Linked DNA regions of Ovis aries. The protein of the gene in region 2 interacts with the protein of the main gene of each other region in a pairwise test. Links are inferred from orthologs where the notes say so. Each region holds a gene or a part of one and is shown on either strand. Other genes may lie near its edges. The genes, in order: MAZ and BPTF.

Region 1 (4,417 bases), on a different chromosome or scaffold from region 2:
CACCTCCTGCCTCATAGCTGGAGTCCCTGGATGCATCACAGCCAGAGAAGGCTGAGGACGGCTGGGAGCTGCAGATCAGCCCAGAGCTACTGGCCCATGGTCGCCAAAAAATATTAGATCTGCTGAACGAAGGCTCAGCCCGTGATCTGCGCAGCCTGCAGCGCATTGGCCAAAAGAAGGCTCAGCTCATCGTGGGCTGGAGGGAGCTCCACGGCCCCTTCAGCCAGGTAATGGCTCAGGGAGGACAGCCCTGGAATGGAGTTGGGTGGGGGACACCTGGCCTAGACCCTTCCCCATCGCTGTTGTCCTGCCAGGTTGAGGACCTGGAACGCGTGGAGGGCATGTCGGGGAAACAGATGGAGTCGTTCCTGAAGGTGAGCTCGCGGCTCGGGCCCCCTTGTTACCCTGGTTTGTACCCTGCCCGGCTCTAAACCTGATCTCCCCTTCCCTCCTGTGTTGCAGGCAAACATCCTGGGTCTTGCCGCGGGCCGGGGCTGTGGCCCCTCCTGACTGCCGGCTCCCCTCTGTACCCTCCCGTTTTTTTTTTTTTAAGTCCTTGTGTAACTGCTTGTCTTGTAAATACAGTTTTCACTCCGTTGCTTCAGCCTGATTCTTGGGACTACGGGGGCGGGGCCGGGGTATAATTGCCCTTGGGATGGGCCACAAGCTCAGCCTGCAAACTTCTTTGGGCGCCATCTTTGGGAAAACGCGAAGCAGCGCAGGATTGTAAATAAACCGCTGGAGTGGGAGGGGGACAGGACGGTGGCCGAGAAGAAACAAAAAGCTCCCGCGAAAGCCCTAGGACGACGACCGTTAGGCGGGCGCGCGCTTAGAGCTTAGCCCCGCCCCATCCGTAACCCGGCGCGCGCTCCCCTATTCTCCCGCTCGACAACGACAGCGAGTTTGTGCGCGTGCGCGCGGAATAACGGCCGCTGGCGGAGGGAAGCGGGGGGTGGAATCTTTGTGGGGGGGAGAGAGAAGCCGCCCCGTCTCCCGCGCGCCCACCACCTGCGCCATCGTCAGCCAATCAGCGGCCGTCTCAGGGGTCTCGCGCTTGGGGCGACTCCGGCTGCTGGGTGGCTCCCCTGTCCCTCCTCCCGCCAGAGTCCCTCTTGTACCTCCCCCCTCCCGCGGGCCTAGCGCGCGCTCGCGCTCGCGCCCGCTCCAGCCTCTTGTGTGTCCTCGCGCCCCCCGCCCGCCCTCCCTCCCCGCGCGCAGTGTGCTCCGCTCCCCCCACCCTCCTCCTCCTTCCCCCCTCCCGCCCGCCCCGCGCGCCTCCTCCCCGGGTTCCCCCCTCCCCCACGGCCGCCTCCTCCTCCTCCCGCCCCAGGGTGAGCGCGAGCCACCTCCCTCCCTCCCTCCGCCATGGATCCCGGCAACTGGAGCAGCTTCATCTTCCAGGTAACAACCCCCTCCCCCGCCCCCCCCCCCCTTCCCACACCCCCTCCCGCCCGCCCTCCCTCCCGTCCCACCCCCCCCTCCGCGCGCCCGGTGCGCGCGCAGCTGTCCCCCTCCCTCCCTCGCGCCCTCCCCCGCCCTCCCCGAGGCGCCGGCTGGGCGCGCGCGCGGCGGGGGCCGAGGCTGCTCCCTCGCTCCCCCCACCCCGCCCCGCCAGGCTCCAACCGCCGCCGCCGCCGCCGCCGCCCGGGCCCCCGCCCCCGGCCCCCGGCCCCGCGGGGCCTCCCGCCCCCACCCAGGGGGCGTCGCCGCCGCCGTCGCCGCCGCGCTCCGCGGCCCGCCAGGCGCCCTCCTTCCCTCCCTCCCGCCGGCCGGGGTGCGCGGGCGGCGGGGCGGCCCGCGGGCCATGCGTTCGGCGCGGCCCAGCCCGGCCGGCCGGGGGCGGCGCCCCGAGCCCGGGCCCCGCGCGGCCCGCGCCCCCGGCCCCCGCTGAGCCCCGGGGGCCCCGCCGTGGCTGAGGCCATGTTCCCCGTGTTCCCTTGCACGCTGCTGGCCCCCCCCTTCCCCGTGCTGGGCCTGGACTCCCGGGGGGTGGGCGGCCTCATGAACTCCTTCCCGCCACCTCAGGGTCACGCCCAGAACCCCCTGCAGGTCGGGGCTGAGCTCCAGTCCCGCTTCTTTGCCTCCCAGGGCTGCGCCCAGAGTCCATTCCAGGTGAGTAGGGGCCGGCCGTGGCGGGCCGGGCCGGGAGGGCGCCGACCCGCGGCCGCGGCCCACACGGCGCCTTGTCTTCGCAGGCCGCGCCGGCGCCCCCACCCACGCCCCAGGCCCCGGCGGCCGAGCCCCTCCAGGTGGACTTGCTCCCGGTCCTTGCCGCCGCCCAGGAGTCCGCCGCGGCCGCGGCTGCCGCCGCCGCTGCCGCCGCCGCCGCCGCCGTTGCTGCTGCGCCCCCGGCCCCGGCCGCCGCCTCCACTGTGGACACAGCGGCTCTGAAGCAGCCCCCGGCGCCTCCTCCGCCGCCCCCGCCGGTGTCGGCGCCCGCCGCCGAGGCCGCGCCCCCTGTCTCTGCCGCCACTATCGCCGCAGCCGCGGCCACCGCCGTCGTTGCCCCAACCTCGACGGTCGCCGTGGCCCCGGTCGCATCTGCCTTGGAGAAGAAGACAAAGAGCAAGGGGCCCTACATCTGCGCCTTGTGCGCCAAGGAGTTCAAGAACGGCTACAATCTCCGAAGGCACGAGGCCATCCACACCGGAGCCAAAGCCGGCCGGGTCCCCTCGGGTGCTATGAAGATGCCCACCATGGTGCCCCTAAGCCTCTTGAGCGTGCCCCAACTGAGCGGAGCCGGCGGGGGAGGGGGAGAGGCGGGTGCCGGCGGCGGAGCGGCCGCAGTGGCCGCCGGCGGCGTGGTGACCACGACCGCCTCGGGAAAGCGCATCCGGAAGAACCACGCCTGCGAGATGTGCGGCAAGGCCTTCCGCGACGTGTACCACCTGAACCGACACAAGCTGTCGCACTCGGACGAGAAGCCCTACCAGTGCCCGGTGTGCCAGCAGCGCTTCAAGCGCAAGGACCGCATGAGCTACCACGTGCGCTCACATGACGGCGCTGTGCACAAGCCCTACAACTGCTCCCACTGTGGCAAGAGCTTCTCCCGGTGTGCACGGGCCTCGGCCGCCCCCTGGGCGGGTGGGGAGGGCGGGAAGGCCGGCGGTGGAGGTGGCCTGGCCTTGGCTGGTGGGGAGGGAGGGAGCTTTCTGAGGATGGGGACTGGGAGCCACTCCCAGGGAGGCGGGAGGAAAGCCTCTCCCGGTTACCAGGGAGCAGGGGGTGGTCCTTAGCAGAAGGAGGTGGGTCCTTAGGTTGAGTGGGAGGAGGCCGAGGCCGCCTAGAGCGAGAGGAGGGATTCCTGCCTAACCGGGACTCTGAATCCCTGGGCTTGGGAGAAAACGCAGGGCCCCTTGCAAATGCTTGATGGACCAAGTTAGGCAGACTCGGGGACCCATCCACACCCCAGGGCCCTAACCCCAACCCCAACGTGTCCCCAGGCCGGATCACCTCAACAGTCACGTCAGACAAGTGCACTCAACAGAACGGCCCTTCAAATGTGAGGTAGGAAGCCCGCCTCCTCCTGTCCTGATTTTCATGATTTTGATCCTCATTGTAGTTGTCTGAGTTCAGCCTCTCAGAGCCCCTTTTTCTCTCTCTTCTTTTTGCTTTTTCACTCCATTTTCTCATCCCTTCTTCAAGGCCTCATCATCTCACTCCCATTTCCTACAGATCAAAGACCCCCAAGGCTCTGATTCCTTTAACCTCTTGCCCCCCTCGCCCTACTCCCCGAAGCTTTAACTCTCCTGACACCCCCCACGCCCCTCCCCCCTCCCCAGAAATGTGAGGCAGCTTTTGCTACGAAGGATCGTCTGCGAGCCCACACAGTACGACACGAGGAGAAGGTGCCATGTCATGTGTGTGGCAAGATGTTGAGCTCGGCTTATATTTCGGACCACATGAAGGTGCACAGCCAGGGTCCTCACCATGTCTGTGAGCTCTGCAACAAAGGTACATGCTGAGAGATGTTGGGAGGGCTAGGGACAGAGGGTGGGGACAAAACCAGAGGCCTTTCCACAGATGTGGGTTAAAGGTGCTGTAGCCAAGAGCTCGTGGCATCTAGAGCCCTTTAGAAAACACACGAAGGAACGTTGGGACGACTGAACATCACTAAGTTCTGAGATGTCATGGCTGGAGGAGATGATCTACCAGAAAGAGTCAACTCCTGGGTGTGTGTGGGGAGATGGGAGAGGGCATTACTGCTTTGGGGAAGGAGTGGTCAAGAGAGCCAGTTCCCACGGGTTGGCAGGCAAGGTTTCAGCTGTGCAGCCACAAGTTCTTGTCTTCAGCTCCTGGGGCAAGTGGAGTACATTGGCAGAGATTTACAAAGTACTCGCCCTGTCTCAGTAGCAGAGGGAGCTGCTTTTAAACAGATTCACTCCACTGAGTAACTGGGCTGAGACTGTATGGGGCA
Region 2 (4,320 bases):
CAACCACTCTTTGATGAGCACCTGTAGTGTGCTCAAGGCACTACACTAGGAACTACAGGGGCTGTAAGATTAGTATAAGGATATATAACCCTTAATTTCACATAAAGGTGAAAGGTGACAAGCATACACAAGGTAGACTATGAATGTCATCGGAAAAAACAAACTATCATGGAAGTACATAAAGATATAAGGATCTTTTTAAAAAAGGAAGCCTAACCACAAAATTGTAATTTAACAGCATATACACCGCTCTCAACCCTAAATATTACTTGCTAAGCCTTCAAAGAGGAGTTAAAGTTAGCTGAACCACCCTGCCAAACGCCTTAGCTCTGCTTAATCTGAGAAAACTTCCTCCAATAGTATAATTTCCTCTCCACAAGTCTTTCAGTTCTGGGCTCCTGGTCGAAAAGACCACATGTGATTTCGTAAGGTAGAAATCATTACTATAAAAGATGCACTAAAATTAAGTTGGCAAGGATGGTGTGTAGTCCTTTCCACATACAAGACATACACACTTGACATTTGATTCATTCTCTTCATTCTCCTGCCAGCTCTCCTTCACTCCACCCCAAAGACAGGCAGATATTACTGTCAGGCAAAAGAAATTACCTTTTTCCTTTGCTGGGAGGACAAGCTAAATGGGCTTACATCTGACTTAATGCTCATACTCCTCCAATGAGTATTTAAGCATTTATTAAAAAAAGAAAAAAAGGCACATTTACATTTAACCACTTCTCCTATTCCAGTCCCTTTTTTTTTTTTTTTGTCTTCTTTGTTGATTTTTATTTGAGGGCTGGTCCAGTCTCTTTTAAAAACAAGTGACACACCTTAATCACTGTTAAGACTCTATTCCTTCATGAACTTTAATTCGGAAATGCTCTGAAAACTGGATTCTAATTTAGTTCAGATTAAAAAAAATACAAAGGAAAAGATCTTGTAGGTTACTGCTGTAAATTATGATTTTTTTCCACCATTTAGTAAACTGCAACTATGAATTTAATACACAGCAGCCATTGTGTGTGTATGTTTTTTAAATAAACAAAATGTATCTCCGCACCAGCCTCGAGAAGCTCTCTGAGAAAAGAGGAGTCACCATGGAGAAGTTCATTGTAGATCAAGGAGGACTTATTACCCTCAGAAATAGAATGAAAAGAAAAAGTCATTTTGCATTAGGTTTCCCTATACTTCTGTTGTGTGACTTGGAAGTTGGTCCAAAAGTTCATCTTCAGCAATTACGTCTGCAGGATCAACCATACGTGTCTGCAACAGGTGACAGGAAACGGCATTTCTCAGGCAAAGGGATCAAATTAGTTAAGACTCAAGTTCCTGCGGTCTCTTATTTTGCATTTTACCAAAATGATACTGGAATCAGATAAAACAGCAAATTTGTTTTGGTATTCTTTGGTTTTTCTTCTTTGCTTTTTAATCAGCCATTCACTAGCAACTGTTGCACGAGCCCATCAGCACTCAAGAATAAACACACACACACACACAGGACCAGATAAGGCTCCCCTACTAACCCAACTGATCCATTTCCTCAAGACACTTTTAAAACCACACAGTTCGGGGTGTGAAGAGAAGCATGTTGTGTGTGTGTGCGTGTGTTTGTATGGCACAATCTGTCTGAATCCTCCATTCCCTTTTTTAGGAACCGATTAGAGACGAGAAATCTAAAAGAAACCACATTAGAAATGCAAAGAGGTTTGCAAAAACAAGAAGCTTCTTTCATTCCAAAAAACCAAACCAAAACAAGGGGAGAAAAATGAATGCAATGGATATGCGTGTGCCAAAGTTTCAACTATGCCCGTGGAGACACTGCACTGGCACACATTTTTAAGAGGAAAAAGAGGGGGTTGAGGGAAGAGAGCGAGCGAGTGAGAGAGCGAGCGTGTGGCCTGCGAACTGCAACAATGCAATCTCCATTTTGAACAATGCGCCTCTTTCCTCTAGTAAATCTAGTTTTTTGCCACTTGATGGGCCGTCGCATTTCCCCTCCGTTTGGGGGGTGGGGGGGAGGTGGGGGTGGGGGGAGACCAGAGAGGGAGTGAGCCAGGGGGGAGGGAGGGGGAGGAGGTGGGGAAGAAGTCTGCAGCAACCGGGCTGGGTGGGTACCTGGAGTGCTGCTATAGGTGCTATGGCTCCTGAAGCTGCTTTCCGTGCAGTAACTGGCGTCGTCGTCGTCGTCGTCTTCCATCTCCTCCGGATAGTCGGAGTCATCGTCGTCCTCCTCCATCTCATCCTCCTCGTCGTCCTCGGAATCCTGGGTCTCCTCGGCGTCGCCGTCCTCCTCCTCCTCCTCCTCCTCCTCCGAGACCATGTCCTCCTCCTCCTCCTCCTCTTCGCTCTCGTGGTCATCGTACACCACTTTGTTGACGGCCCTCCGGGCCGGGGTGGTCCGGGCCAGGTGGCCGCCGCCGCCCCCGCCCCCTGTCCTGCCGCCCCCGCCTCCTCGCCCCCCCCGGCCCGGGGCGCTGGTGCTGGGGGGGGCCGGCGGCGGCGGCGGCGGCGGCGGCGGCTTCCTCCGGCTACTGCTGCCCCCCCTGGGCGAGCTCAGCCGCGTCTTGGGCGCCACCTCAGCCTGGGCGGCGGCCCACCTGCCCCGGCTGCTGCCGCGGTGCCGCGAGCGGAGCCCCCCGATGGGTCCGGACGTGGGCGGCGGCGGCGGCGGCGGCGGCGGGGCCGGGGCGCAGCGCTCCGCAGCGGGAGCCGCGGGCTGCTTGGGCGGCCTGCCCCGCCGGCCCCTCATGTCGGAGCTCAGGCGGGGGGGAGAAGGGAAAGCGGAGGGGGGAGGGGCGGGCGGAGGGGTGGCGGTGGGGGGCGCCGGGGCCGGGTGGGGAGGCCCGCGGGGCCGGGCGGGAGGGGCCCGGCCGGCGGAAGCGGGTGGAGGGAGAAGGCTCAATCCGAATTGCTGGGGCCCCACTCCGGATCGCCTTCAGCCGCCATCTTGTTTCTTCCCTCTCGCTCGGTGACTGGGGGAACCGACAGCGGCCGCAGGCCCGGAGCGCGGTCACGTGAGCTGCGCCGCCGACGAGCCTGGGACGGAGCGAGGCCGCGCGGCGGCCGCTAGGGGGAGTGCGGGAGCGCCGGGTCGGGGGCGGGGAGCCCGGGGCGCCTCCGCGCGGCTCGGCTAGACCGCGGCCGCCGGCGGCTGTGAGGAGAGGGGCGCTCCCTCGAGAAGTGCCCCGTGTCGAGGGCCCCGGGAGTCTAAACTCACGAGGCCTCCTTGCCACGTGTCCTCTTCCCCTGCTAGGGGACGAGGGCAGGGAAGCCCCCAAATTTGTCCCCGTCTTGTCCCCTGGGGGATAATGATGCTGAGAGCGCCAGAGAGGGTATCGCGCCGCGGCGGGGTGGGGCGAGGGGCTGTGCAACTCCAGCGACAGAAGGGACAAGGTGAGCGCCAGCAACGGAGGGAGGTTATCAGGGGACTGTGAGACGAGCCCCCAGAACTGTGAAACTCCGAACGCTTGGCTCGAGAGAGTCCAGGAATTGATCCCAATGACAACTGCTGGGGTGGGGAGGGGGGGGAGGGGGCGCTGCTAGAAGCCCCGCCCTAAGCTGCCAGACCCTGAGGGAGGGTCGCTCTGAGACTCGGGATAAAATCCCCTCCCAAAAAGCCTTCGATAAACTTCAGAAAGCAACTACATTCCAGTCTCCTCCACCTTTGCTAGTGTCCCAGCTAGAAACTCGACCACCTCCGAAAGAGCTTTCTAATTTCTTCCTTGCTGTAGAAAGGATAACTTCTGTCCTAATACCTACTTTAAAATGTTGGATGTTTGAGTTACCGGGAGATAATTTTAATCTACCTGACAAGTAACAAAGTCTCGGCTAAACCCAGGGGGCGAATCATGAGGATGAAATTTTAGGCATCCTGGGACCAAAGCTGGGCTTCTCTCGTAGCTCAGTTGGTAAAGACTGCCTGCAATGCAGGAGACCCAGGTTTGATCCCTGGGTCGGGAAGACTCCCCTGGAGAAGGAAATGGCAACCCACTCCAGTATTCTTGCCTGGAGAAACCCATGGACAGAGGAGCCGGGCAGGCTACAGGCCATGGGCTCACAAAGAGCCTGACACGACTTAGCGACTAAAACCACCAACAACCGGGGACCAAAAGAGGGAGACTCAACTCGCAGTGGTCTGGGGCTAAGACCCAGGCTGTATTTTATAATGTATTAATACTTATTGAAACATGTGACCACAAAGAAGTGATTTGTGTTAACAGTTAACAGAATTCTGTCCACCAAGTGAATTATTACAGTGGAGTTAGAAGGATAGAATGCATACGTGAAATGAAAATGAACAAACAAGCATTAATGGCCAAATTC

What was found.
Region 1: the proteins of BPTF (region 2) and MAZ interact in a two-hybrid assay, tested with the Homo sapiens proteins (2 studies listed by BioGRID). The link is inferred for Ovis aries from reciprocal best matches to the Homo sapiens genes BPTF and MAZ.

The regions. Positions count from the first base shown.
Region 1 is NC_056077.1:26,949,344-26,953,760, reverse strand, and holds the start of MAZ (myc-associated zinc finger protein), read left to right. Parts: upstream 1-1,350; 5' UTR 1,351-1,365; coding exon 1,366-2,112; intron 2,113-2,195; coding exon 2,196-3,052; intron 3,053-3,443; coding exon 3,444-3,507; intron 3,508-3,645; coding exon of another isoform or gene 3,646-3,744; exon of another isoform or gene 3,745-3,776; intron 3,777-3,782; coding exon 3,783-3,954; intron 3,955-4,417. Other genes in the region: kinesin-like protein KIF22, read left to right, coding at 18-227, 315-374, 463-510. UniProt on the Homo sapiens protein: Transcriptional regulator, potentially with dual roles in transcription initiation and termination.
Region 2 is NC_056064.1:48,822,478-48,826,797, forward strand, and holds the start of BPTF (nucleosome-remodeling factor subunit BPTF), read right to left. Parts: upstream 2,972-4,320; 5' UTR 2,747-2,971; coding exon 2,113-2,746; intron 1-2,112. UniProt on the Homo sapiens protein: Regulatory subunit of the ATP-dependent NURF-1 and NURF-5 ISWI chromatin remodeling complexes, which form ordered nucleosome arrays on chromatin and facilitate access to DNA during DNA-templated processes such as DNA replication, transcription, and repair.